Linked DNA regions of Oryctolagus cuniculus. The protein of the gene in region 4 interacts with the protein of the main gene of each other region in a pairwise test. Links are inferred from orthologs where the notes say so. Each region holds a gene or a part of one and is shown on either strand. Other genes may lie near its edges. The genes, in order: WW domain-containing adapter protein with coiled-coil, MAFG, TNNT1, NFE2L2, MAFF, MAFK and ATF4.

Region 1 (3,500 bases), on a different chromosome or scaffold from region 4:
ACTTGAGAAGGAACTTTGAAAGTGAAGAACTGACCGCCATTGCTTAAGGGATCTGATGCAGTGATTTTCTCGGGGACTAGAAAACTAATATTAGCATGCATTTCACTTTTAGGCACTATTTTTAAACAGACTGAAGATAACTTCTAAGCTCTAGAATAAGATCTGTTTGCTGAAACTCACATTTTGGTTGCTCCCTCATCAAAATGCAGACAAATAATAAGGTTACTCAAAAATTAACAGTTGTTAACTTGGAACTTTTGCGAATTTCCCTCAGAAGTGACATACCTTTGGCTGTGATGAAACAGGAGGAGTACTAATCAAAGGCTTGATAGGGACTGTGTTAGTCTGAGGTGTGCTTATTCTTGGAGACACATATGATCTTGGGGATGACGCATCAGACGTTAAAGACATTGGAGACTGATTAGATGGCTGGGCTGTGAAAGAGCGATGTAACCGATTTTAAATAAACCAAGAACTCTTGTAGTATGTGGTGAAGTTCTCTGCATCACTCTACACACCCCCCACAATCCTAGGTCCCCCAAAGAACACTTACCCAACCAAGTCAGAAACCGACATCCCATGTGGACTCACTGACTAAAGGAGCTCTGTGTCAGAGCTCAGCACACCCAGCACAGGACTCCAAGGCCACAGCAAGGAGTTGAGCCTGAGCCTAACCTCACACAGCAGCCCCTCAGCCCCTCATTGCTTCGCTGAGGCTCGGGCACTGTCCTGTGCTCAGTCTCCTGCCACACAGCCTAGTCAAAGGACTTCAAGAGCCTTTGTGCTACTCTACTTGAAGAGGGACCACTAGCTCAAGGCAAGAACTGGGTTGTTTCCATATTATGTAGCCAAAAGTCACCTGACATCAGGACAGGCATTATGCAAATTGTTGCTTGAGACACCAGATCCCAGCTGGGCAAGCCTGGTTCAGCTCCTAGCTCCTATGCTTCTGATATACCTCCCTGCTAACGGTCCTGGGGGGTGGCAGAAGATGGCCCAAACACCAGGTTCCTGACCCCTACATCTGAGACCTGGATGGAGTTCCAGGCTCCTGGCTTTGGCCTGGCCCAGTCCCAGCTGTTGCAGCCAGTTAGAGAGTAAACCACTGAACAGAAGATCTCTTTGTCTCTCCCTGTCAAATATAGTGTGTGTGTGTGTGTGTGTGTCTGTATTTAGAATCATCTAACATCAACATGCCCAAACTTCAGCTCTTCAAATATGTAACAATGCTTTCTGAAGATTGAGGGCACATCGCAGTTTACCTTCAGCTTTGGAGTAAAACTCTTTTTATTAGCAACTTAAATCACACTACATTACAGATTTACAGTAATACCTTAAGATAAATTCCAAAGCATCATCTAAAAACATTAAAAAAGGGAAATACATATACTACTGTAATGCTAGTGTTACCAAAACCAGCTAAAATAAAGATAGCTAATCTTTAAAGAAGTTTTTAAGAAGTGCTGATAAAAGTCCAGACAATTGTAGACATTTCTAAGAATATGGATACCTTGTGTTGAGAGTTGTGCAGCTTGAGAGATCAGAGAGGTTATGTTGAAAGCAGACGGTCCAGCAGTAAGAAACTTATGAATTATGGACTGCAGTGAAGCCTGGGTCACAGCTGCTGTAAGAACTAAAAACATTATTTCCTAAATTCAAACAGAAGCACAGAGGCCTACAAAGCATTAATAACAACCTGGAAACTTGAACAGGACTGGGAAAACAGCTGAAGCACTTACAACTGGAACTCTTGAAATAAAAATCTAGAAAATGGGTGATGGCGTGCACTGGGGTATAGTGGGTCAGGCCATTGCCTGCAATGCCAGTGTCCTATACAGGAGCCGATTCCAGTCCCAGCTGTTCTTCTTCTAACCAGTTCCCTGCTAATGGGCCTGGGAAAGTAGCAGAAGACAGTCTAAGTGTTGGGGCCTGTGGGAGACACAGATTGAGTTCCAAGTTCCTAGAGCAGCTTGGCCTAACCTCAGATACTGTGGTCACTCGGGAGTGGAGGATCTTTCTTGGTTAACTCTACCTTTCAAATAAATGAATCTTTAAAACAAGAGAAACAGGGGTCAGCGCCGTGGCTCACTTGGTTAATCCTCCGCCTTGTGGCGCCGGCATCCCATATGGGTGCTGGGTTCTAGTTCCGGTTGCTCCTCTTCCAGTCCAGCTCTCTGCTGTGGCCCGGGAGGGCAGTGGAGGATGGCCCAAGTGCCTGGGCCCCTGCACCCGCATGGGAGACCAGGAGGAAGCACCTGGCTCCTGGCTTCGGATCGGCACAGCACCGGCCATAGGGGCCATTTGGAGAATGAACCAACGGAAGGAAGACCTTTCTCTGTCTCTCTCTCTCCGTCTATAAATCTACCTGTCAAATAAATAAGTAAAAAATAATAAAAAAGAACCAAGATAAACAACAAAGAACAAAAACCTAGAAGATGGAATATAATGGGTGTAAGGATTTAAGATGGGGGCCGGTGCTGTGGCATAGCGAGTAAAGCCGCTGCCTCCAGTGCTGGCATCCCATATGGGCACTGGTTCATGTCCTGGCTGCTCCACTTCCCATCCAGCTCTCTGCTATGGCCTGGGAAAGCAGTGGAAGATGGCCCAAGGACTTGGGGCCCTGTACCCACGTGGGAGACCCAGAAGACGCTCCTGGCTTCAGATCGGTGCAGCTCCAACCGTTGTGGCCAATTGGGGAGTGAACCAGCAGATGGATGACCTCTCTGCATCCCCTTCTCTCTTTGTAGAACTCTTTCAAATAAATAAATAAATCTTAAAAAAAAAATGCTGCCTGTTCCACTTCTGATCCGGCTTCCTGCTAATGTGCCCAGGAAGGCAGCAGTGACAGCTCAAGTAGTTGAGCCCCTGCCCTCCATGTGGGATACTAGGCTAGAGTTTCTGGCTCCTAGCATCAGCCTGGCTCAGGCATTGGCTACCTACCATGGCTGCATAGGAAGTAAATCAGAGAATGGATGATCCCTCTCTGTGTCACTATGCCTTTCAAATAACTAAATCTCTTAAAAATATTGAAAAAGATTAAAAATAATCTGAGGTAGATAGAAACTGAGTGAGTTTACAATAAAGTTAAATTAAGATCTACTATTAAAACTCCTCTCTGTGAGACTTTTTAGAAAACACTAGAGCGTGTTCTCAGAACTGTGGGTTATCCCAGAAACCTAGCCAATTTTATGGGAAGTGCACAGGGCAGTATATAAGATTAACCAGATAAATGGCTGTTATTTCATGATTTTTTTTTTTTTTTTAGAAAAGCAGCCACTCAAACCCTTCAGCTATATCCATTCCAACAACCTTTTAATTAAGAGTGAGCAGAAAAAAGATGGTACTTAGGAAACCATGTACTTTTGATACTTAAGAGGCCAGAACTAAACATTGTAATTAATCAGGAAAAATGGCAAAATTTTATCTAGTACCTACCCCTTTCTCAGAAAATGCTTCAAGTATTTTATATAACTACCTGAGCTCCTCATTTCCTAGTATTT
Region 2 (4,294 bases), on a different chromosome or scaffold from region 4:
TGGGGCAGACAGCAGGGTGAGGGGTCTCCCAGTTTCCCGGGGCCCTCCAGCTGGGAGCGAGTCATCTAGCTGGCCCCGGCTCCCATGGCGGGAAGAGCTGGGGAGCCCCACACCTTGGAAGCAGCAGGCAACCCGACTGAGAGCCTGGCCCGAGGGCCCCTCCAGCCCGCTCTGGCCGCCTCCCGGCCCGTGGAGTAACCACCGTGTGGCTTTGGGTTGCAGCTTCCTGCGCCCCTGCCCCACCCTGGCCAGGGTGTTTCACAAGGGCCCCGGGGCCTGCTCACTGACAGGCAGGTGGCAGTCACTGACTGCTCTGTGGTCCCCTGCCTGGGCCTGCACCCACAGCCCAGTGCCCAGACCGCTCCCCCGCCAGCTGCCCCTCGAGCACCACCCTGCACTGTCCGCTCTCTGAACCCCTGCCAGGAACCTGAAGCTCCCACCCCAGGAACCCCTCCCGGAGCCCGCCCCTCCCACTGCTCTGCAGGTTAGATGCAGGCAGGTAAACAGGTGGACGGGGAGAAAGGCCACAGTCTCCTGGCCGGCTCACCCACCCGGGGAACCACAGTGTGGCTGGCCAGGCGGCCCATGTTCCCAGGGTGGAGACCCCACAGGAGCCAGGCCTGGCCAGGAGGCAGGCTGCAGCCAGGAGGCAGGGTGGGGCCGAGCCAGGAGGCGGGACCCCAAGAAGGATGGGGATGGGGTGCCCACAGCTGGAGGTCAGGAGGCCCGCAAGCCGGCCCCGGCCCACCAGGAGACGGGCCCTCACTGCTGCCTGGGCACGGGGGTGTCCCTCCCCCCACGACCGCACAATGACAGCGGTGGCTTCCTGAGGGGACCACACAGAAAAGTGCCGAGCGCGGCGCTGGGCTGGGAAAAGTGCCTCCTCAACAGATTCCGCCCTCTGCAGAAGGCCTGAGCTCAGCACAGTGCAGCCAGGCGCCTTCCGATCAAAGGTGTGCACGCGTGTGCGTGTGCGTGTGCGTGTGCGTGTGCAGGCACCCACGCCGTGGGGGAGGGCCTCGGCAAAGCCGGCGCTTCCAGCCTTCCGGGCAGAGGCGGCCCCTGGGGATGGCGGAGAAGGCTGGCTCGGGGCACCTGTCCCAGCCAGAGGGGGGGTCCCGGAGGCTGCACTGAGTGGAAGCCCCCCCAGCCCATCCTCTCCGTCCTGAGGGCTGCTCAGAGCTAGAGCCGCTGTCCCCTGCTGCCTGACCCACGGGGGACCCTGGGCCACCCACTCAGCTGAGAGCTAGGAGAGGAAAGGGCAGCTCCGGCCCTTCCTCCAGGACCAGCTCCCCTGGGCACCCTTGCCCGGCACACCCCAGCGGCCACAAGTCCCAGGCAGGCCGCCCGACGCTCTGCGACCCCGACCCGAGTCCTGCGGCTCCATTCACGCCAGAGCACCCGTGCCGGAGAAGCCCCGAGGAAGCTGCGCGGTGTCTGGGTGCGACCACGCGACGGCCACGAACCCAGGGCAAGGGAAGCAGTGGGAAGGTGAGCTCTGTCCACCTCCCTGGCCCCCAGCCCCCACCGCGGCCACACCACCCTTTGGCCTCTTAGCCGCCGGTCCAGACAGCGGAGACACCACACTGGCTCAGCACACTCCATGCTGGGACCCCTCCTCGCCGGGGACAACCCCTGGGTGTCTGGGACCCGATTCTCCCGCCTGTGCGTCCACACTAACCCACCTGCTGCACCCCAAAGGACGCATCCTGAGCTCCTGTCGCGTGCAGCCTCGCCCCAGCCCAGGGCCAGCGGACCCGGCCGCGACAGCGCGCTGGCTGCCCTGCGAAGTCCTGCTGCCTGCTCCCTGCCCGCCGCCGCCCCTGCGGCCCCACGCTCACTCCTCTTTCTTCTGACGCCAGGGGCTGCCCATCCAGGGGCTTCCAGCCGCCAGCTCGGCCCACCAGACCCCTCCCCTCCCGTCACCCCCAGCTGTTTATCAGTTTGGGGGACTGCCCCGAACGTGGGCCCAGGGCCGATCTCGCCAGGGGCTCGACTTCTGCCCCGCAGGAAGCCCGCAACGCGGCCTCGGCCTCCGCCTGGCCACGCCGGCCTCGCGCTCATCCTCACGTGTGCCTCCCCCGCCACGGGCCGGCCCCTCCAGTCCCGAGGCCCCGCGCCCAGTCCCCGCGCCAGCAGCAGCTCCGAGTGACCTCATGCTGATGACTCAGCAGGTCGCGGCGCTGGCACGCGAGCCGAGCCCGGGCCCGCGGGCAGGGTCTTCCCGCCGCCCCCGCCCGGCCGCCGGGGCCCCGCGCGCCGCCAGCGGCCGCCACACACCTGAGGAGCCGGCGGCCGCGCCCCCGCGCCCCCGCGCCCCCGGCCGCGCCCGGCCCCGCCCTCCCCCCGGCCGCCGCCGCGCCTCGCCCCGGGACGTCCCGGCCTCCGCCGAGCGGGCTCCGCGCACGCCCCGCCCGCGCCGCCGCGCCGCCGCGCCGCCGGCGGTGCGCCCGGGCACCCGCGGCCGGGGCCGCAGCCCGGCTCCCGACGGCAGGGGAAGGCGAGGCCCGGCCCGCCGGAGGGCGCGCGGCGCGCCCAGGCCACGGCCCCGCCCCGGCGCGGGCCCCGCCGCCGCCCCCGCCGCCCGGCCCGCCACACTCACCACACTGCGGGCCCGGCGGGCCGAGGCCGGGGCCGGGGCGGAGCCGCGCGCGCTCCGAGGCCGCGCGGAGCTGGGGCGGGCGCCGGGGGTCCGGGCCCGTGGCTCGGGGGGGGTCTCGCCGCCTCGCGCGCCGGGCCGAGCGCTCTGCGAAGGCCGGGCCGGACCAGGCTCGGGATCCGCCGCCGCCGCCGCCGCCGCCGCTCCACAGACGTCACATGATGTTTGGTCACGTGGGCTCCATTCATGAAGCGGCGACGCGGCCGGCCGGAGCTTAAAGGGGAAGGCGCGGCGGCGGCGGCGGCGGCGGCGGGGCGCGTCGCCCTGCGCCTGCGCAGCCCGGGCGCCGTCGCCCCTGGCAACGCGCGCCGCGCCCGGGCCGCGTCGGGGGCTCGCGGGACTGTCCGGGCGCGCGCCCTGGCCGGACCACGCCCCCGCCGCGGCGCGGTGCGAGCGCGCGGGAGGCCCTAGTCCGAGGTCCGGGTGCAGACCGACCCCGGGGGTGCAGGGCCCAGGTCCCGGCCCCGCGGTGCGCCCGCCAGGAGTGGACGGCGCGGGCCGTCCCCCGGGCCGCCGGCACCTGTCTGAAGCCGGCCCCCGGGTCCGCGTCCGCCCCCGCCGCCGATCGTTCCCCCAGGAAGTCGCCGCGCGGCGGGGTGGGGGCGCGCTCTCGGCCCTGTTCCCTGCTCAGGTGCACAGCCAGGCAGGTGAGGAGGTGAGGGCGCCGCGGAGGGGCCCACAGGAGGACCTGGAGCTGCTGTGCGGGGCTGCGCGGGGTTCCTGGCGGGGTGGGGTGTCCACGCGGGACGGCGCGACTTGTAAAGCCTCGGGTTTTTCCGTAGAAAACGCAGCGACTCACCCCACGAGTGCGTCCCTGGTCTCAGAGCTTGCTCCTCACCCCTCCTGGACGCTGGGTCCAGGCTCCGGGGGGCGGGGCAGCCCTGAGCCGGGTTCGCGGTGGGAATCGGAGCTCCGTGGCCGCTGGTCTGAGGCCCGAGGTCGAGGGCAGGGGGCTAGTCGTGACGGAGAGCCGGGTGTGCCCTCGCTCCTCTGTGCTGGGAGACGCTGGACCAGGACGCCTGGTCCTGGGGCCGGGGGCCATCACTGCTGACCACCCAGGCAGCTCGCCCTCCCCTGCCGCCGTCCAGTGCGTGGGAGATGCCTGGGAAACTCATCTCATCTCCCACTCAGTTTTGCTGATGGACGTCCGTCCACTCCCCACCCCCACACACCCACCCCCACTCAGCAGCCGCAACAGGCAGGCATGGGTGTGGCCACCCGGGGCCACGGGCGAGGCCAGTGGGGGCCGTAGGTACTGGGACTGCTTCCTATAGAGAGAGAAGCCCTGGGCCCTGGGGTCAGTTCTGAGAGCAGACAAGAGAGGGGCAGGTGCCCACGCTCTGTCCTGTGAGGGGGCAGCTCTTCGGGTGCAGGGGTCCAGCTGTCCTGTGCGGTGCTGGGTGGGGGGCTCGTGTCCTGTCACTGGAATGGCCCAGGCAGCCGGGACCTGACTCCGGTGCAGCTCCAGGGCCCAGGGGGCCCAGCCACGCACGTCCTCTCATCTGTCCCAGAACCCCCTGGCAGACTCCCCACACAGGGTCCTGGACACTTGTCCCTGAAATACGGGGGCAGCAGCGTTTGGGCCACGGCAGATGAGGCTGAATTGCTGTTGTTGAAAGCTGTCTGACAGGCAGA
Region 3 (4,289 bases), on a different chromosome or scaffold from region 4:
ATGGCTGGGGTGGATGATGGGCGATGGCTGGGGTGGATGATGGGCGATGGCTGGGGTGGGTGATGGGCGATGGCTGGGGTGGACGATGGCTGGGGTGGGTGATGGGCGATGGCTGGGGTGGGCCAGCGGCTCTGTCCCCGGGCGGCTTCCTCTCTGCGCACCCTCTGGCTGCTCCCTGGGGAGAGATGGGGGTCAGAGAGTCTGGGGCGGGGAGGGGGCTTCTCCAAGCCCCTCCCTCCTGCCATTGTCACTCACTCCTCATATTCCTGCTCCTCGGTGTCCGACATCCTGCTGTGACCTGCGCCAGAGAGAAGAGGTGACGGCTGTGGGGTCTGAAGGGGGAGGCCCAGGGACCCCTGGTTCTGAGGGAGGAGGTGGGGCCTGCACCCCTGGGTCTGAGGGAGAAGGCCTGGGGCCCCCGGGTCTTAGGGAGGAGGGCCTGGGGCACTCCTGTGTCTGAGGGTAGAGGGCTGGGGGATCCCCGTGTTTGAGGGAGGAGGACCGGACTGGGGGGGATCCCTGGGTCTGAGGGAGGAGGGAGGGGCGTGGACCCCTGGTCTGAGGGAGGAGGGCTGGGGGACTCCCATGTCTAATGGAGGAGGGCCTGGGGGGACCCCCGTGTCAGGGAGGAGGGCTGGGGGACTCCATGTCTGAGGGAGGAGGGCCTGGGGGGACCCCCGTGTCTGAGGGAGGAGGGCTGGGGGACTCCCATGTCTGAGGGAGGAGGGCCTGGGGGGACCCCCGTGTCTGAGGGAGGAGGGCTGGGGGACTCCCATGTCTGAGGGAGGAGGGCCTGGGGGAACCCCTGTGTCTGAGGGAGGAGTTTCTGGGGGACCCCCATGTCTGAGGGAGGAGGGGCCTGGGGGGATCCCTGTGTCTGAAGGAGGAGGGCTGGGGGACCCCCGTGTCTGAAGGAGGAGGGAACAGGGGGGACCCCCGTGTCTGAGGGAGGAGGGCTGGGGGTACCCCCATGTCTGAGGGAGGAGGGAGCTGGGGGACCCCCATGTCAGAGGGAGGAGGGCCTGGCCCCCAGAGCCTAAGCGCTGGGGACAGCAGGGCCTGGAGCTGTGGGCCTGGCAGAGCGGCAGCCCCCGCCCCCCAGCACAGCTGTCCCCTTTGTCTGAGGACAGGAACCTGATCCCCCTGGATTAGGAGGGGATCTGAGACAGGGCCTGCAGACAATAGCAGCCCCACCCCGGCAGCTATTTTGGGGGGATGTCCACAGAGGACATTTCCTAAGAAGGACTGGGGGGGCCTTCTGGGACAATGAGTCACCACCTGTCTCCTCCACTCACCTCCACATGCACACACACACACACACACACACACACCGCGTCCCTGAGACTACACACACACACACACACACCCCGTGTCCCTGAGACCCTCCACACCACACACACACACACACACACCCCGCGTCCCTGAGACCCTCCACACACACACACACACACACACACACACCGCGTCCCTGAGACCCTCCACACCACACACACACACACACACACCCCGCGTCCCTGAGACCCTACACACACACACACACACACACACCCCGCGTCCCTGAGACCCTCCACACCACACACACACACACACACCCCGCGTCCCTGAGACCCTTCACACCACACACACACACACACACCCCGCGTCCCTGAGACCCTCCACACCACACACACACACACCCCGCGTCCCTGAGACCCTCCACACCACACACACACACACACACACACCCCGCGTCCCTGAGACCCTCCACACCACACACACACACACACACACACACCCCGCGTCCCTGAGACCCTCCACACCACACACACACACACACACCCCGCGTCCCTGAGACCCTTCACACCACACACACACACACCCCGCGTCCCTGAGACCCTACACACACACACACACACACACACACCCCGTGTCCCTGAGACCCTCCACACACACACATGCACACACACACACACACCGTGTCCCTGAAACTACACACACACACACCCCGCGTCCCTGAGACCCTCCACACCACACACACACACACACACCCCGCGTCCCTGAGACCCTACACACACACACACACACGCACACCCCGCGTCCCTGAGACCCTCCTGGCCCAGGCTCAGAGCCCTTCCAGTCCCACCCCCTGGATAACCCACTTGTGGGCCCGGCTACCCCACGGCCCCACACCGTCAGGATGGGCACCCTGGGGCCCAAGCTCAGGGCTCAGCACCACACCCCGAGCTATGGCGCTACAAATGCTGAGACCCGATTCCCAAAATCCCACACTCAGACCCCTCCCCGGTCCTGATACCCCCAGAGCTGGAGACCCCCAAACCTGCCACTCAGACTATCTGACAGCCGAGCCCAGAACACCCCTCCTGAGGTCCCTGCAGACTCCGGAAGACACCCCGCATTCGGCACCCAGGCGCCCTGTGCTCTGAGCCTGCTCCTCCCAGACCCCAGCTCTCGCGCTCCGTCCAGGGCACTCCGTGGGGACGGCAGAGCCCCGTTACCTAAGGCTGGGGATGCAGACGCTGGATCCGCAGGCTGAGCCTTGCCTGGCCTGGCCTCGCTGAGGGCTCTGACGCACCCCGCGTTTATAGGGGTTTATAGCTGCAGGCTGAGCCCCGCCCCTGGGGCGCGGGGTGGGGGGGAATTCCTGAGCTCAGAGGAGGCCCAGCCCCTTCTGGCTCCAGAGTCAGGGTCCAGGCATCTCCTGGCTGCTCCAGGGCCCAGGCCTCCCCATGGGTGGTCTCTGAGCCTCTGTCTGTCCTGTGTGTGTCCCTGTCCCCGCCCCCACCCCTTTGTCTGCCACCAGGATTCCGCTCTGGTGACAAAAGGCTCTAAAACCGGGAGGCAGGTGTGGGGGGGGGGAGAGGATGGGGTGACAATGAGGCTGGCAAGCCCTCCCCCCAGTCCAGCCATGACCTTGAGAGAGCCCTGGACAGCAGGCTTCCTCCCCCCGGGGACCTGGCTGCCCTTCTCAGGGTCTCCCAGGGCTCTGTCCTTGTCCCCCTCTGGCCCCTGGGTGTGTGTCCTGTCGATGGCACTTCCGGGCGGGCCTCTGTCTGGTGCTCGGGGTCCCTGGGCGAGTCTGTGGCTGTCCATGTCCTCGTGTGTCTTTCTAGCTCCTGTCGGTCACAGGTTCCCTGGGAGTCTGTGCCCGCTGTCTTCCGTCTCTCTCTCTCCTCCTTTGCGTCTTTGGCTCAGTCCCTCTCCCGTGGGCGTCTCCGTGGGTGCTCCCCGTCGGCCTTGTCCTTGGCCTCTGCGTGCACCCCACGTGCAGCCATGAGCGCCCCTGTCGGAGGCGCAGGGCGGCCCCGCCCCCGTTCCCCCCAGTGTCCAGCACACCAGGACGCGGCCACTGCAGTTCGGAGCAGCTTTATTCAGCAGGGCGGGCCGGGCCGTGCGGGGCTCAGCCCTCGAACTTCTTCTTGCGACCCTCCATGCCGCTCAGCAGGTCGATGTTCTTGCGCCAGTCTCCCACCTCCCGGTTCTCCTGGGGGTGCGGTCAGAGGTTAGGGTCTCCTCCTGGTCCCCTCTCCCTAAGCCGCTGCGGGCAGGACCGCTCCACGCTGCCTGTCCCCTACAGTCGGCCGAGTTCTCTTAACTGCCTCTTGTCCCAGTCACACACTTCCTGTGTCATGCACTTCATGTCTGTCCCCTCATGCACTTCCTGCCTCCCCTCATGCACTTCCTGTCTGACCCCTTATGTACTTCCTGTGTCATGCACTGCCTGTCCCCTCATGCACTTCCTGTCTGACCCCTCATGCATTTCCTGTCTGTCCCCTCATGCACTTCCTGTTCCCTCATGCACTTCCTGTGTATCCTCCTCATGCACTTCCTGTCCCCCTCCTGCACTTCCTGTCCCCTCATCACTTCCTATGTCCATTATGCACTTCCTGTCCCCAATGCACTTCCTGTATCATGCACTTCCTGTGTGCCCTCCTCATGCACTTCCTGTCCCCTCATCACTTCCTGTCCCCCTCTCCTCCTCATGTACTTCCTGTCTCTGTCATGCACTTCCTGTCCCCCTCATGCACTTCCTGTCTGTCCCCTCATGCACTTCCTGCGTGTCTCCCCCATCACTTCCTGTCTCCTCATCACTTCCTGTCTGTCATGCACTTCCTGTCCCCCTCATGCACTTCCTGTCTGTGTCCCCTCATGCACTTCCTGTGTGTCTCCCCCATCACTTCCTGTCTCCTCATCACTTCCTGTCTGTCATGCACTTCCTGTCCCCCTTCCTTTGTCTCCTCCCAGCATCCTTCTCTCTCCCTCATGCACTTCCTGTCCTCCCTACCTACTCT
Region 4 (3,500 bases):
TTTCTCAAGGAGCCCTGGTGGATACTCAGTACCCCTTTCCAGTGTTTTGGTAGCCCTTCTGTTTGCCATCTTATTTGTGCCTCAGGAACAAAAACTAGGTCAAAAGGAAACTTTTAATAAGTGAGCCACAGAGAAGAGTAGCAAGAATGGTGCAGAGAAGATAATCAGTCCAGTGTGGGGGATGCCGAAGAGTTTTCATAGTTCATGATTGCTGGATTCTCTCTCTCTCTCCCCCGTCTCTCTCTCTCCCACACACACACATCTTGTAAACTGGGTATTTGCTGAGCAGCTTTCAAGAAGACTCCATGTATTCAGTCATGTTTTCTAAACCCTGTTTCTCATAATAAGCCAGTGACTTGGAGTGGTTGCTTTAGTTTCTATATTCTGTAAAACAAGTATGAGATTCTTTGAATTCAAACACATTAATAGGCAACATTTGTAACTGCCCTTTAGTGATCTCCGCCATCTGCCAGAGCACATTGTGATTACAATGGATGACTGTATGTTTGCAGGTTGTTTTTAATGAGCAATTTCTTCGAATGAAATGAACAGTGCTCTTCTACAACACTGCATCTGTGTGCTTATTCAGAGTTCATTTGTAATCTCCCCCACCATCAACAATGGCAGAACGTGGATTTATTTAGGTGGACCATCTTAACCATGATCTCTCTCCTTTTTTGTTTTAAACATAGGACATGGATTTGATTGACATACTTTGGAGGCAAGATATAGATCTTGGGGTAAGTCGAGACGTATTTGACTTCAGTCAGCGACAGAAGGAGTATGAGCTGGAAAAACAGAAACAACTTGAAAAGGAAAGACAAGAACAACTCCAAAAGGAGCAAGAGAAAGCCTTTTTCGCTCAGTTACAACTAGATGAAGAGACAGGTGAAATCCTCCCAATTCAGCCAGCCCAACACATCCAGTCAGAAACCAGTGGATCTGCCAACTACTCCCAGGTACAGAGTACTCAGGTCTTGGGAAAGTCTATGGCAAGGCTTAAGGAAATATTGACCAAGGAATTAAAGTATTCTTCAGTTCATTTTGGCTTTTACTGTGTCTGTCTTCATAACCCTGTCAGCCTCCCGAAGAGTGCAGTACCTGACACACTTCCCTTACAGGGTTATTACATGAAAAGAACTTTGTAAATGATAGAAATGTCCTGTTAGGACCAAACAGATGGAACAGAACTAGGTGGCAGGGATTACTTACGGTCCTGTGGCTGCTCTAAAACCATACATTAACTGATGATCCACACAACTAAATGGATTAAGTGTCATATCCACATTTTATCTACTGAAGAGCAGTGAAGCTGAAAAAGGCAAAATAGTTTGCCGAGACCACTCATGAAATCAGGGTAGCTAAGATTTGATCCTAGGTAATCTGGTTCAAGTCTGTGTACCAAAGTGATTTTTAAAGTAAAAGTTACTTAACTACATTATAAACATTCTGTGAACATCAGTTACGAACCTGAAATCATCATTATTGAGCTTGACAATGGAACATTTAACGATGTTTTTCTTCCTTTTGGTCCAGGTTGCCCACATTCCCAAACCAGATGCTCTGTACTTTGATGACTGCATGCAGCTTTTGGCAGAGACATTCCCATTTGTAGATGACAATGAGGTATACAAATTTGGATAATAGCAGAACTCCCTAACTACACCGAACATAACCTGTATAAATCCTTTATTGTGTTTCCATTTAAAAGAAAATTTAAAATATTAGGAAATTTCTAATCAAGGAAATATGCTGTCAGGTAAACCTCAGCAGATAGGTATTAAAAAAAAATCATACAATACAAAACCAAAAACCTTTACTTCTGTATATCCAGTAATATCAGTCAGCACAACTATGGAGCAACTTATTTGCTATAAATATTTATAAATTTTTTGGGTGAGTGAAGAGCAAGCTGGGGAATAAACAAGACTTGTTCAGTTTGCAATTTCCGTAAGTCTGTTGTGTTTGAAGTATTGCACTAGATATTAGATAGGTCCAAATTAAATCCTAACGCAGTTCTTACCCATTTTGATGTTTACCTTCAAATGCATAGGATTAAAAAAAGCCAGAAAAGAATAAATTTGGTGTCAGTTGGGTAGGAAAAAATACTTGTTCTGTAGAAATAGGGGTCATAACTGGTCAGTGAGTGGAGAAATATAAGGTGTTGTGATAGTGCCTTGGAGCTTACTCATCTCCCATTGATGGCAGACTCATGGAGATAAATACCTTGTCAATTTTAGGTTTCTTCAGCTACGTTTCAGTCACTTGTTCCTGATACTCCCAGCCACGTCGAGAGCCCAGTCTTCACTGCACCTAATCAGGCTCAGACACCTGAAACTTCTTTTGTTCAGGTAGCTGTTGCTGATTTAAACAATATGGAACAGAACATTGAGCAAATTTGGGAGGAATTATTATCCATTCCAGAATTACAGGTAACTGAGATCTAACGTAGTACTGGACATGCTATTTTATATTCAACACCTTTGCATTAGTCATCATGATAATTTGTAATTTACATGTCACCTACTTAAAGGAAGGATTGGAGAGTCCTTTGAAATTACTCATAAAAGCTACCCATGCTCACTTAAGATGTACTTTGTTGTTAAATAGGCTGGATAGCTTAAGGACAGAACATTGTAAATCTGAAGTCTGATCTAGAACTCTGAAAATTGTATGCAATGGTGTCACTATCTAGTAAAAATGGGAATTATCTTTGAATCACAGAACACTTTGGAGACGATGAGGATAGGGAGTGAGTTTACCTAACTCAATCATCAGTCCTGGATTACCAGCTATTAAAGGTACTTAATCTTGATTTACATCATATAAACTTCTTTCCCATGCAGTGTCTTAATATTGAAAAGGACAAGCTGGTTGAGACTACCACGGTTCCAAGTGCAGAAGTCAAACTGACAGAAGTTGACAACAATTATCATTTCTACTCGTCGGCTCCCTCACTGGAAAAAGAAGATAACTGCAGTGCGCATTTTCTTAGTGCTTTTGAGGATTCTTTCGGCAGCATCCTCTCCGCAGATGACCCCGCCCAGCTGAGCGTGAACTCAAATGCCACATTAAACACAGATTTTGGTGATGAATTTTATGCTGCCTTCATAGCTGAACCCAGTGTCAGCAACAGCATGTCCTCTGCTCCCATCAGCCAGTCACTCTCTGAACTTCTAAATGGGCCTATTGATGTTTCTGACCTATCCCTTTGTAAAGCTTTTAACCAGAACCACCCTGAAAGCACAGAATTCGCCGACTCTGACTCTGGCATTTCACTGAACACAAGTCCCAGCATGGCATCACCAGAACACTCAGTGGAATCTTCTGTCTGTGGAGACACACCACTTGGCTTCAGTGATTCTGAAATGGAAGAACTAGACAGTACCCATGGGGTTGTCAAACAGAATGCTTCTAAAACACAGCCAATACATTCTTCTGGGGATACAGTACAACCCCTGTCACCATCTGGGGGGTACAGTGCTCCAGTGCACAATGCC
Region 5 (4,252 bases), on a different chromosome or scaffold from region 4:
CACAGCTCACAAGTGGGCACTCCTGCCCCGGCCCAGCTGTGATCTGACTTGATTTCTGCAAGTTCTCCGGGGCCAGCGCTGTGGCGTAGCCGGTAAAGCTGTCACCTGCAGTGCCAGCATCCCACATGGGCGCAGGTTCAAGTCCCGGCTGCTCCACTTCCGATCCAGCTCTCTGCTATGGCCTGGGAAAGCAGTGGAAGATGGCCCAAGTCCTTGGGCCCCTGCACCCGCGTGGGAGACCTGGAGGAAGCTCCTGGCTCCTGGCTTCAGATCGGCACAGCTCCGCTGTTGCAGTCAACTGGGGAGTGAACCAGCAGATGGAAGACCTCTCTCCCTCTCTCCCTCTCTCCCTCTCTGCCTCTCTGCCTCTCTGCCTTTCCTTGGCTCTCTGTGTGACTCTTTCAAATAAATAAATTAAAAAAAAAAGTTTTCCTTCAAGTATAACCTACATACAGAGAAGTACACATAACACACGTATAGCCAAGGACTTCACAATGTCCCCAGCACCCCATGGACACAGCGCGGGGCCAGTCCCCAGCCCTCCCCAAGCACAGGGGGCGTGGCCCAGCAGGGCCCCAGGCAGCGGGGCCCCAGGTGTGGCAGCAGCTGTTTGCCCAGGCGTGCACCTGGCACTGGGGGCGCAGAGGTTTATAAACACTCGAGGACGGCACCTGCCGGGGTCAGCGGTCACTGCTCTGGGACAGGCAAGGCCTCCCAAGGCCCCTTGAAAGCAGCTACCCTGTCCCTGCCTGGTGACCAGGCCTCCTGCGGTGTGACCCGAGCGCGCTCCTGGGCCAACCCCCGTGAGGAGTGGGAGAACACCAGGAAGCTGCCTGGTGACTGGAAGCCCGGCGTCCTAGACGCTGTCATTACAAGACCCCAGGAGCTGGAGGCAGGGCGTGAAGGGCCGGGGACAGGCCCTGGCTCCCTGACACGGCCGGCAGGACCCGCATGTGTGCTGGGGACCCTGGAGGAATGCAAGAGCAACAGGCCCTGGCCCGCACACGCCGGGGCTTGTGGAGGGCGGCCCGCAGAGCTCTCTGCACCACGTGCCGCCCCGCGTGTGACCCAGGGCGGCACGTCCATCAGGGCAGCTGTCCTCTCCCAGCAGCCTCCACGGCGCCCATCCCAGTGGTCTCCACGGCCGCAGCGGTGCGCCCCAGCACTGGCTGCTCCTCCAAGGGACCAGGGAGCTCCCTCCGCCCGGCATGCCTGCTCCCGGGACAGCCACGGAGCTTGCTTCAGATCCCATGTTCCCAGCCACTGGTGCCCACGGCGCGTGCACACACACAGCCTGTCTCCCTCCCCAGCCTCGGGTTTCTCTAGAGCACCGTGGGCGTCGCTGATGACCGATCCTCCTGCGTGTTGCGTCTGTGGAATGGAGGTCCTGTGGCCCACAGCTGCCTCCCGGGGCTTGGGGCAGGGGCCTGCCAGCCCCTCCCCGCCCACACGGCCAGGGGGTCCAGCAGCTCCAGGGAAAGGAGGAGCGGTTCAGGGGCGGGAAGCTGGCACCCACAGGGATCTCAGGCCAGCGGGCTCTAGGGACTTCCCGTGTGGTGGCCAGGAGGGGCGAGGCCCAGGGTCCCAGGCCAGCGCTCAGCAGCCGTGGTGTCCTGTGCGGCTCCCCGGTGGGGAAGGCCTGCTTCCTGGTGGAGCTCTGAGCTGTAGCCCTCACTGCTGAACAAGTGGGCTCCGCCTGGGCCCGGGCCTCAGTTTCCCTGCCTAGCCCCTCCAGTCCCTGTGGGCTCGGGCCTGGCTTGCCCAGCAAGCTGTCTCTGGAGGCCTCCATGCCTGCCCCCTCACTATCCCTCCTGCCTGGCCCAATCATATGGACCCCACACTGCCCTGACCAGTCACTGACATGTCCAGACCCCGCCCTCCGCCACCCTGCCCGTCAGAGCCACACACGGCCCTGCCACATAGTGCCCCAGGGAGCTTCCTGCCCTGTGAACCCTCCTGTGCCACCACCAGACTAGAACCTGCTGTGGCTCCCACTGTCCTGAGGCCAGAGGCCGGCCCATCCCCAGGCTAGTGCACAGCCTCAACTGTGCACCCCAGCCATGTGGATGTCTTCCTCTGACCCCACCCGGGCACTCCCCCCCCCCTCCTCTGTCGGGCAGGCTCCTCTTCATCCTTGTGCCCTCCTCCTCCTCCTCCTCCAGGAAGCCCTCCCTGACCTTTAGGCCTTGTTAGGCACCACCCCCCACCTCCACCCCCCTCTCCCCACCACACAGCCATGGGCTGTTTCCTTGTCTCTCCACCAGGCAGGGAGCTCCAGGGGCTGAACCAGGATGGCTGGCTGGGCGGAGTCACTGACACCGTCACCCAGCTGGTCAGCGTCCAGGCCTGGCCAGACACAGTCTGCGAGAAAACCTCAGGCCAGCCCCCAGTTCCTCCTCCTTCCCATCTGTGTCCCTTCCGAGGGGTAGAGACGGCACACGGGTGGGGCGGGGGGCGGGGCACGGCAAGGGAGCAAGGTGGGGAGTGGGAGACGGAAAGAGCACTGAGTGGGGGCACGCCCTGTCCGTCTTCTCCAGGCCACCTGACCTTGGCCGAGACTCCACCTCTCCGGGTGTCCACTCTCCTCTGCGCGGTACCTGCCTGGCAGGTTCTGGTGGAGCGGAGGGGTGCATGCAGTGGCGGTCAGCCAGCGCCCGGGAGGGCAGGAAAGCGAGAATCCGAGCTGCCGGAGCCGGGGCCACAGCCAGCCCTGGCAGCGCTCTGCCTCAGCAGCTCCCAGCTGCCCGGGGCCAGCCCAGGGACGGCCCTTACAGCCCTAGGCCCCACCTCCTCACTCCCCCAGGGGGCGGCGGAGACCCAGAGAGGCCATCGCTTGCCTGAAGTCCCGTGGGCACCTGTGAGGCCTGGACTGAGTGCCGGCTCCTCTGACGACTGTGACTTGATGCCTGGCAGCCCCCTGGGCCACACAGCCAGCACGGGGTGGAGTTCAGGACGGGGTTCATGTGAGGTTCAGGACGGAGGCCACCCTGGTGCCCACTGCCGGGCTTCGAGGGGCCAGGCTTTGGGCGGGGCCTGCCAGGACACCCGCATCCGGCTGCACAGAGGGGCCGGCCGCGAGGGGACCCCTGATGATGGGGTGATCCCTGATGATAGGCACAGCGCGGAGACACTGGCAGGGGCCACACGCTCAGGAGCCGCGAGTGGCTGGCTCGCCCACCACACCCCTCTCCCCCGCCCCTGCCCACTCATGGCTCATCAAGCCCACACGTACTCCCAGGAAGTGACACAGAGCCTCTGAGTCCTTCTCAACACAGCCCTGCCTGCCCCTCTCGCTGCTGGGGCTGGCTGGGACACGGACCCCAGGAAGTCCTCCGCACTCCCCTCCAGCCCGTCGGCTCCCGCAGGCCCCCGTGCCCAGGGGATGTCACGGAGGGAAAGTCACAGAGGGAAAGTCCCACAGGCTGCCGCGCTGTGCTGGGAGCCCTGGAGCCTGGGGCTTCCGGCCCTGCCGGCCTGGGGCTTGCACAGCAGCAGAGCCGGCCTCGGCCGGGTGGCTGCGGGTGGCAGTGGGGGACTGGCGCCCCGGGGCCTGCTCCCACCCCGGCCAGCGCTCTCTCAGGGCCTCCCTTCCTGGCCTCTTCTCTTCCCTCGGAGGCCGGCAGAACCCCTCCCAGGGTCTGCAGGTTCCTAACCTTCTTTGGAGGCCTGGGGAGTGAGCTTTCTCTTGGGGACTGACAGAGGCCTCGCCCAATCAGCAGCCAGCGGCTCTCGCGCGCAGCCCCGTCCCCGGCCCCCAGGCCCACCCCAGAGACAGCCTGGAGACGGCCCACCCACTGGCACGGCTCCTCCTGGCTGCCGAGCCATTCCGCTTGCGCGCTGTGAGGACACAGGGAAAAAATGTGTTTTCCTGGGTCTTGGCAGCTGGCGCTGGGGGCACTCCTCCCTGCTGGAAGGGGAGCAGGGCAGGGGGAACCAAGCACAGCAGGGAAGTGACGGCGGGTGGCTCCAGCCCGGGCTCTGCCCCCCACTCACATCCCGGCCTCCCCTCCCCGGCATGCCGACCGCCCCTCAGCCTGAGGTCCCGTTCCCACAGTAATGGCCTCCAAGCTAGTGGTATCCTCGGAGCACCAAGACCACCAGCGGAGGAAGGCCTGGGAGGAGGGTAAGGAAATCAGTGCAGGATTCCTGGAGGCGGGGGCGTGACAACACAAACTCCTAGCCCCTTCTGCGCTTGCACAGCCAGAGACCACTTCTCCTTTCGGATGGCCCAGGACCACAGCCGCCTCCACCT
Region 6 (4,124 bases), on a different chromosome or scaffold from region 4:
GCCGGCGCCCGCCCGGGGCCGCGGCAGAGAGGCCGGGCAAGTGCAGGGACAGTGATGCGGCCGGGGGCTCCTGGGGGCAGGGACCCGCTCCGCAGAGGCCAGCACTCAGGCCCCCGGAGTCCCCGAGCCGCACAGGGCTCCAAGCCTCCCTCGTCAGTGACCGGCTACGCCCTCTCCTGCCTGCTGCCGAAGCTCTGGCTCTGGTCCGGGGCTGCGACCCACGCCCGGTCCCACCTGCCCCGTCCTGCCCGCGGGCGTCCAGTGGGGGGCGAGGAGGCGGGACCGGGAGCGGCAGTCAAGACCCAGGCAGCAACCGTGACAGATGCAAATCCACACACGGAGGATGTGGCCGCCCCGGCGCGGAAGCTGGGGCCACACACACTTGTCAAGTAAACACGTCAGCCAATCGCAGCCGCAGCTGGGGCCACAGACACGCTGACTCGCACCCCACTGAAGACGAGGCCCCACCGCAGAGACACCCGCTGCCCCTGCCCTGGACACGGCCCTCTGCGGGCGGGATGTGTCCACGGTGCCCCCCAGCATGGCCCTCTGCGGGTGGGATGTGTCCACGGTGCCCCCCAGCACCCAGCCTGGCCCTGGCCACGGCCCCTCTGTGGGCAGGTGGGATGTGTCCATGGTGTCTCCCAGCCTGGCCCTGGCCACGGCCCCTCTGTGGGCAGGTGGGATGTGTCCATGGTGCCCCCCAGCCTGGCCCTGGACATGGCCCCTCTGTGGGCAGGTGGGATGTGTCCATGGTGCCCCCCAGCCTGGCCCTGGCCACGGCCCCTCTATGAGCAGGTGGGATGTGTCCATGGTGCCCCCCAGCACGGCCCTGGACATGGCCCCTCTGTGGGTGGGTGGGAGGTGCCCACTGTACCCCCCCAGCACCCCAGCCTGGCCGGGACACGGCCCCTCTGTGGGCAGGTGGGAGGTGCCCACCGTACTCCCCCAGCACCCCAGCCTGGCCGGGACACGGCCCCTCTGTGGGCAGGTGGGAGGTGCCCACTGTACCCCCCCAGCACCCCAGCCTGGCCGGGACACGGCCCCTCGGCGGGCAGGTGCCCGCAGTGCCCCCAGCCGGCAGCCCCGGACCTGTAGGATGTCCAGTCGCCTTGATCTGGGCTGAGGAAGCTGCTACATGCAGAGGTGCGTGGGGATGAGGCTGACACAGCCCCGCTCACGGAGCCGGCCCTCTGCTGGCCACCCAGGCGCTTCAGCAAGGCCCCAAGCTCCGTGGTCAGCCGGGGACGCGCCCTGGGAAAGCACACACAGCCCCGGCCCGCCTCCCTCACCTGTGTGCAGCTCGCGTAAGGGCACCCCACCCCAGGGCACCCGCTGCACCGCACAGCCTCGCCCTCAGCCTGACCCCGGGCTCTCCCCTGTCTGTGTGCTGACCCAGACTCCGTGACCTCGCCCCCAAGGGGCAGCTGCCCCGCTCAGCCCCAGCCCTGAGCTGCACGTGGGTGGGTCCCTCCTGACAGCTCCCAGGTGCACCGGGCACCAGCCCTCCCCCAACGCTGCTTCTTCCAGAAGGTTCTCCCCACTACCTTCCTCGTGGGAGGCACCTGCTCTCCCCCAAGACCCCACGGAGCTGAGCCGGCGGCGAGAACAGGCGGGCGAGCCTGGCAGGGGGCGAGGGGACCCCGCGGCCCGGGGTGGCGCCCCACCCCCACCCCCACCCCCACCCCCACCCCCACCTGCCCTGCACTGTCAGATAACTTCCCGCTTCCTGCAGCTCAGAAAGAGGAAACGGAGGCCGGCTCGCAGCCCCCCGTGCGTGCGTGCGGGAGCGGCGCCTCCCATCCAGGCGGGCGGAGCGCGTGAGTCACTGTTTACTGCCCGGGAGAGCGCTCCCAGCTGGCCCGATCGCCACTTCCCGTGCGGACTGCACCCGGAACCCAGAAAGTCCACTCCAGGAACCTTTAGACCCGGAGCCGCCGGGCCGCCAACAGGCACGGCTTCTTCTGGGTCCGCGGCGACAGCTTCGCCCCAGGCTGTAAACCGACTCCCGCCGTCCCGGGCGCCCGCGGCCTCACCGGGGCCGCTCCCTGGGATCCTGGCCCCCGGGACTGCCTTACTGACCGTTCTACTGCGGGCCGGGTCCTCGGGGCAGGCCCCCTCGGGCATTCCCACCAGGAGGTCCTCCCCCGAGCCGTGCCCCGCAGGTGCGTCCCGCCCACCTGCGCGGCCCCCAGACCCCACCCACCGGCCGGGCCGACACCTATGTAAGAGCTCCCGGGCGCCGCCGCACCTGACCAGGACTTACCGTGTCCTGTCGGGGCCAGACACTTGCCGGAGCTCGGGTCCGAGTCTGCCGGGGCACGTGGCGAGGGCGAGGCGCGCCTGGCCCCGCTCCGCGACGGCAGACACCTGCCGCCCCCGGACCACGCGGTCGCGGCCCCGCACCCGCACGTGGCGGCCCCGCGCGCCGCCGTCCCGCCCCGCAGGTGCTAGGGCCCCGGCCGGGCCTGGGTCCGCGCCCCCGGCTCTCAGCGCCGGGCCCGGGCGGGCGCGCGGGCCCCGGCAGCCGTGACTCCGCGGCCGCGTGGCTCCGAGCGCCCCCCGCCCCCCACGGGCCCCGCGCCCCGCGCCCGCCGCGCTCACCTGGCTCGCGCGGGCGGGCGCGCGGCGGCTCCTCGCGGGCACGCGCTCTCTTCGCGCTCGCGCTCACTCCCGTGCTCCCCCTCGGCCGCCGCCGCCTCGCGCTCGGGCTCCGACTTCGCGAAGAACAACAAGTTCCCCCCCCGCGCCCGCCGCCCGCGCGCCGCCGGCTCCCAGCATCTGACACCGCTTCCGGGATCGCGTCGGCGCGCGTCACGCCGCGGCCCCGCCCCACCCGCAGGCCCCGCCCCCGGCCGGCCCCGCCCCCTCGCCGGCCCCGCCCCGTGGTGCGCGGACGACGAGTCCCATCACGGCCCCGCCCCCAGACCGCGACCCTTTCCTCCCACGCTCGCGTCTCCAGGCCCCGCCCTCGCCGGCCCCGCCCCGGCCCGCAGGCCCCGCCCCCGGACGGCCACACCCCCAGAAAGCGACCTTCCCTCCCGGCCCCGCCCCCTCCTCGGCCCCGCCCCCGGCTGCTCCTGTGGCGCGCACCTGAGCGGGGCACCTGCGCTCCTTCCTCTGCAGAGTCGGGGTGCGGGGGGAGACCCTGAACGACGATGGCGTCCCGCACCCCATATTCCGCATGCCCCGCGTGCGGTCTGTGCCTCAGGTCACACCTGCGGGGAGCCCCCGCCGCCCACCTGTTCGCTGCAGGGGGTCCCTGCTGGGTCCCAGGTGCGCTGGGGCGAGCGCAGGGTCACAGCTGCCACTCCACAGCACAGGTATAGAGGCCGGACGACCCCCCGCGGGCCGCAGCACAGGGTCGGGAGGACCAGCTTTCCTCCATGGACGCGGCCCTAGGCGGAGGGGGCAGCTGGGGGCACAGACCCCATGTAGGCCCTCGCGAGGTAGGCACCAGGTGAGGTCGGGGTGGCCCTGGTCCCCAGATCCCGTGAGTACAGCAATCCGCAGGTGGGGGTGGCCCTGGGCCGGGGGCTTCAGCAGCTGCCATGGCCAGGGGGCCTGCCCGCTCTGAGAACCAGCTCCCCCCGGTGAGGGGGGCCAGGGCTGGTGGAGAGGGGACCGAGTGGAACACCCCTGCGTGCCGGAGGTGACCAGGCCGCCATGCTTCCCATGGGCACACTGGTGCTTGAGTGCCCCGGGTCTGGCAGGCCGGTCTCTGCGGGCTGCACGGGCAGCTGGACGAGAGCAGGAGGGAGTGAGGCCTCCTGAGCCTGGGTGTGGGGTCGCCGGGTTCCGATACCGGCCCCCGCTCCGGTCAGCCCTGGCCGCTGCAGACATGGGGGAGCTGACCGGACGCCCTCACTGCCCCTGCGCCATTGCCTGCTCCCCAGGCCACGGCAGGTGCCTCCTCTCAGGCGGGCAGGTGTCCGGCCTGGCCTCGTGCCCTGCTCTCCGTTTGCCAGGAAGCAGCCGCAGCCCGGGGTCTTGCCGGGGTTTGGGAGGGGCCGGGGCCGCTCTGCCTGCTTTTGTCCCTCACCTGGAAGCCAGCGAGAGGCCCAGGTTTGCGCTTGGAGAGGGGTGGTCCTGAGACCCCTTGGCCCGGAGAGCCAGGGAGTGGA
Region 7 (3,634 bases), on a different chromosome or scaffold from region 4:
CAATGGGTCCCGGTCCCAGACTGTGGCTGTCCCTAACGGCTGGCCCAGAACAGCGGGGTCTGGCCCCCCAGCTCAGGGCCAGTGCTGGGGCATAGCAGGTGAAGCAGCCTGCAGTGCCAGAACCCCATGTGGGTGCCAGTTCGAATCCCAGCTGCTGCAGCTCTCTGCTGTGGTGAGTGCTTGGGCCCCTGCATCTGTCAGCTCCAGGCTTCTGCTGCAGCCCAGCCCTGGCTGCCGTGGCCATTGGGTGTGTGAGCCAGCAGATGGAGGACCGTCTCCAACTCTGCCTTCGAATAGACAGCTCTCCCATGATCTGTGTGTGTGCAGGCTGGAGCCAGTGACCACCCCCACACACACACACAGGAACACCGAACAAGGAAGTTGCAGCCACTCATGGAGTGAGTGCCCGCCCCAGACCAGATCCCACCATCCCGCGTGGGACTCTTGTTGCCCGCCCCACCACGCCCAGAGGGTGTGAGCCACAGGACAACTCCCAGGAATGCTTTCACTACAAAATAATTTATTAACAGCGGAGCCTCCTGTGCGTGCGCCCTAGGCGGGGACCCTCCTCCTGCCGCGGGCCGCCCGCACCTCCTCCAGCAGGTCCTTGAGGTACTGGATCTCCTTGGCCAGGCCGTCGGCCCTCTCCCGCAGGGCCGCGTTGCGCTCCTCCAGCCCCCGGCACTCGCCCGCCAGCGCCTCCTGCTCCGCCCGCTTCTTCTGCCGGTAGCGCGTGGCGGCCGTCTTGTTCTGCTCCATCTTCTTGAGCTTCTTCTCCAGCTTCTCGCCCTTCACGCGCGCCGCCGCGGCCGCCGCAGGCTCGTAGGGCTTGGGGCGGGCCGGGGCGGGGGGGCCCCTGTGCGGGGAGCCCCTGGGGGTGGGGGCGGAGGGGCTGCGCTGCGGGGAGCCCGGGCAGGACTCGGGGCTCATGCAGACGCCGCTGTCGTTGTCGGAGGGGCTGTCCTCCTCCTTGACGCCCTGCGGGACCACGGGGCCCAGGCCGGGCGACTCGGGCTTCCGGTCCCCGTCCGCGATGTCCACCTCGCTGCCCAGCTCCAAGCTGAACGACTCATCCGGGGAGGCGGCCGCGACCCCCAGCGACAGGGGCAGGGGCTGCAGGAAGGTGCAGGGGGCGACCTGCGGCAGGCTCGCGGGGAGGGGGCCGAGCGGGCTCCCTGCCTGGGGCGGCTCCTTGAGCGCGTCCAGGGCCAGGGGGGCGAAGAGGTCGCACGAGTCGTCCAGCGTGGCCAGCAGCTCGTCGGGCACGGCCTCCAGGTCGTCCAAGCTCAGCAGGGCGTCGAAGTCGAACTCCTTGAGGTCCACTTTCTCCAACATCCAGTCCGTCCCGGAGAAGGCGTCCTCTGCGGGGGCGCGAGCGAGGGCGCGTGAGGCCGGCGCCCCCCCCCCGACACGGGCGCCCCCTCCCACCCCCACCCCCCGCGGCGCTCACCCTTGCCGTCGGCGGGGGCGCCCAGCAGCCCGTCCGCCGCCAGCCATTCCGAGGAGCCCGCCGCAGCCTTGTCGCCGGGGGGCCCGGGAGGCTTCCAGGGCGTGGCCACCTCCAGGTAGTCGTCCAGGAGCCCCAGGCCCTCCTCAGCCCCCAAAGCCGCCTGGTCGAAGGGGGACGCCAAGTCCCCCGCCAACCCCGCGCTGTGCAGGAAGCTCATGTCGGCCGTGTCGCGGGGCTGCGCTGGAACCGGGGCAGGGGCTCAGCTCGAAGGTGTCTCTGTCCGTGACAGCAACGCTGCTGCTGGGTGCCGTGAGGAGCCTGCGGGCGAGCGGCAGGGGCGCCATCAGGGCGGGGGCCGGCCGGGCGGCAGGTGCACAGCGGCCATGGCCGCCCCCGCCGGGGCCGGCGCCCGGCCCGCCCGCCCGGCCCCGCCCCGTGACTCACCCCGCGCCGCCTCCCGCCGCCATCTTGGCCGCCGCCACGTTTCGCGGGGCGGCCACCGCGACCCCCGCCGGCGCAGAGCGGGGGCCGGGGCTCCGAGGACAGCGCGCCCCCACCTCCCCGGGGACGCGGGCGCCGGGCCGCGCTCTCCCGACCCCGCCCAAGGACACGCAAGCAGGAACCACGCGTCCCCGGCGCTCGTAAAACCGCTTCCGCCTCGGCGACGCGGCCCCGACCCCCGGCCGCAGGCCGCGCCCAAGCCCAGGCCCAGGCCCAGGGCCCGCAGACGCCGGGCCCCGGCCCCCTCGCCCGGCCCGGTACTCACGCCATGGCTTAAGCCGCTGGGGGTTGCCGCTGCAGAGCCTGGTGCTGCTGCCGCCGCTGCAAAGGCCAACGCTGCCGCAGGCACTGCTGCCTCTAATACGCCATGGTGGCCGCGGCCCTGCGGGACGGGAGGAGGAAGGGCACGGCTCGCAAGAGATCTACATCGACGGGCGGGCGCAGCGGTAATGGCGGCGGCGCGCGGCCCGCCGGGCTTTTATAGACTTGGTCGCCTCCGAGCCGCATCACAGGACGCATCCTTCCGCCGCGGCCATGTGACCCGCGCCTCCTGCCCACTCCCCGGCGTCCCCACCACTTTCCTCCCCCGAGCTTTTATGTCCGAGGCGTAGCCATGTACAGAAAAGTAGTTTACTTTCAAGATCTCACGTCGGGAAAAAGGCGCACTACTTTACAAGGCGTCCAAGATCAAAGAGTCTCGTCCTTTCCCCCTCGGATGCCCGGATGCGCGGAGGGATCTCTCTCAGGGGCGGGGCGTGAAGAGCCTTTCATTCCAAGGAGGCTTTTTATTGTGAAGGCCGAGGCCGCCCGGCTATCGCGCGAGACGCTGGCGGGGAGCGCGCGTCGAGATGATTGGCTCAGGCCTGAGGAGTCATATATACCTTGAGCTCCTATTGGCTCAGGGCCCGAGGGGGGCGGGCCACTCGGCGAAGGGGCCCGGGTCTGCGCGGGAAAGGGCGGGAGCGGCCTGGCGTGCAGCCGTGCCTTTGGTTGTAGCCTCGGCGGCCGCAGCGGTAGAAATCAGCGCCCAGCGGCCTCCGAGCGAGCCCGCCGCGAGCGGGCCCGGGCCTCGGGGCCGGGGAGCCTGCCGCCGTCCGGGGCCGGCTCTGCGTCCTCCCGCTGACCTCCGCGAGCCGCTGGCCAGCCTGCGTGTCCGCGGCGCCCTTTCTGCTGCAGGGCGTCGCTGCGGGGACGCCTCTGGCCTCTGCAGGCTCAGCCCCGCTGCGACCCCGGGTGGTTCCCACGAGCTCCGGACAAGGCCCGGTGGCCCTGCGGGGGACAGGAGTTCCCGGGGAGCCGGGCCCCGGCCCGCAGAGCTCCACTCCCGCGTCCCTTCCGCGAGCGCTGCTGGCTGGACAGACAACCTGCCCTGGGGCCAGGGCCACCCTTCCCAGGGTGCACGGGCAGCCCCGGCGCCCCCGTCTGTTGGCGGACACTGGCCGTGCTGGGGCCCGGCCCGCGCGCGGGACGCGCTCCCGCCACGCTAACTCGGGGTCCCCACTCCCGGCTACCCCTGTGGGGTCACTCTGCTTCCTCAGGGGGCTCCTCCCGGAACTGACCGGCGGCCGAGGCCTAGGGCGCGGCACTCTGCCCGGGGGTCAGGAGGAAGGCGGTGGGGGTGGGACTCCCGCGCCGCCACCGCGACCCCGCATCCATCCCGGGAGTCCCGCCCGCTCCCTGCTG

Evidence for each region.
Region 1: the proteins of NFE2L2 (region 4) and WW domain-containing adapter protein with coiled-coil interact in a two-hybrid assay, tested with the Homo sapiens proteins (2 studies listed by BioGRID and IntAct). The two-hybrid records come from large-scale screens. The link is inferred for Oryctolagus cuniculus from reciprocal best matches to the Homo sapiens genes NFE2L2 and WAC.
Region 2: the proteins of NFE2L2 (region 4) and MAFG interact in binary tests that used the Homo sapiens proteins (3 or more experiments, as listed by UniProt). The link is inferred for Oryctolagus cuniculus from reciprocal best matches to the Homo sapiens genes NFE2L2 and MAFG.
Region 3: the proteins of NFE2L2 (region 4) and TNNT1 interact in binary tests that used the Homo sapiens proteins (3 or more experiments, as listed by UniProt). The two-hybrid records come from large-scale screens. The link is inferred for Oryctolagus cuniculus from reciprocal best matches to the Homo sapiens genes NFE2L2 and TNNT1.
Region 5: the proteins of NFE2L2 (region 4) and MAFF interact in binary tests that used the Homo sapiens proteins (3 or more experiments, as listed by UniProt). The link is inferred for Oryctolagus cuniculus from reciprocal best matches to the Homo sapiens genes NFE2L2 and MAFF.
Region 6: the proteins of NFE2L2 (region 4) and MAFK interact in binary tests that used the Homo sapiens proteins (3 or more experiments, as listed by UniProt). The link is inferred for Oryctolagus cuniculus from reciprocal best matches to the Homo sapiens genes NFE2L2 and MAFK.
Region 7: the proteins of NFE2L2 (region 4) and ATF4 interact in binary tests that used the Homo sapiens proteins (3 or more experiments, as listed by UniProt). The link is inferred for Oryctolagus cuniculus from reciprocal best matches to the Homo sapiens genes NFE2L2 and ATF4.

Annotation. Positions count from the first base shown.
Region 1 is NC_091444.1:99,039,024-99,042,523, forward strand, and holds part of WW domain-containing adapter protein with coiled-coil, read right to left. Parts: intron 1,634-3,500; coding exon 1,511-1,633; intron 435-1,510; coding exon 286-434; intron 1-285.
Region 2 is NC_091448.1:998,383-1,002,676, reverse strand, and holds the start of MAFG (transcription factor MafG), read right to left. Parts: upstream 2,801-4,294; 5' UTR 2,603-2,800; intron 2,526-2,602; exon of another isoform or gene 2,281-2,525; intron 2,151-2,280; exon of another isoform or gene 1,686-2,150; intron 1-1,685. UniProt on the Homo sapiens protein: Since they lack a putative transactivation domain, the small Mafs behave as transcriptional repressors when they dimerize among themselves.
Region 3 is NC_091449.1:3,704,975-3,709,263, reverse strand, and holds the start of TNNT1 (troponin T, slow skeletal muscle), read right to left. Parts: upstream 2,801-4,289; 5' UTR 2,496-2,800; exon of another isoform or gene 2,404-2,495; intron 1,083-2,403; exon of another isoform or gene 666-1,082; intron 605-665; exon of another isoform or gene 299-604; 5' UTR 288-298; coding exon 256-287; coding exon of another isoform or gene 252-255; exon of another isoform or gene 246-251; coding exon of another isoform or gene 220-245; exon of another isoform or gene 209-219; intron 176-208; coding exon 162-175; intron 1-161. Other genes in the region: TNNI3 (troponin I, cardiac muscle), read right to left, coding at 3,398-3,481. UniProt on the Homo sapiens protein: Troponin T is the tropomyosin-binding subunit of troponin, the thin filament regulatory complex which confers calcium-sensitivity to striated muscle actomyosin ATPase activity.
Region 4 is NC_091434.1:63,900,451-63,903,950, forward strand, and holds part of NFE2L2 (nuclear factor erythroid 2-related factor 2), read left to right. Parts: intron 1-692; coding exon 693-959; intron 960-1,536; coding exon 1,537-1,626; intron 1,627-2,240; coding exon 2,241-2,432; intron 2,433-2,846; coding exon 2,847-3,500.
Region 5 is NC_091442.1:114,968,797-114,973,048, reverse strand, and holds the start of MAFF (transcription factor MafF), read right to left. Parts: upstream 2,801-4,252; 5' UTR 2,634-2,800; coding exon 2,548-2,633; intron 1-2,547. UniProt on the Homo sapiens protein: Since they lack a putative transactivation domain, the small Mafs behave as transcriptional repressors when they dimerize among themselves.
Region 6 is NC_091450.1:36,677,886-36,682,009, reverse strand, and holds the start of MAFK (transcription factor MafK), read right to left. Parts: upstream 2,801-4,124; 5' UTR 2,605-2,800; intron 2,421-2,604; exon of another isoform or gene 2,083-2,420; intron 1-2,082. UniProt on the Homo sapiens protein: Since they lack a putative transactivation domain, the small Mafs behave as transcriptional repressors when they dimerize among themselves.
Region 7 is NC_091442.1:115,755,002-115,758,635, reverse strand, and holds ATF4 (cyclic AMP-dependent transcription factor ATF-4), read right to left. Parts: upstream 2,421-3,634; 5' UTR 2,217-2,420; intron 1,769-2,216; 5' UTR 1,668-1,768; coding exon 1,451-1,667; intron 1,362-1,450; coding exon 553-1,361; 3' UTR 501-552; downstream 1-500. UniProt on the Homo sapiens protein: Transcription factor that binds the cAMP response element (CRE) (consensus: 5'-GTGACGT[AC][AG]-3') and displays two biological functions, as regulator of metabolic and redox processes under normal cellular conditions, and as master transcription factor during integrated stress response (ISR).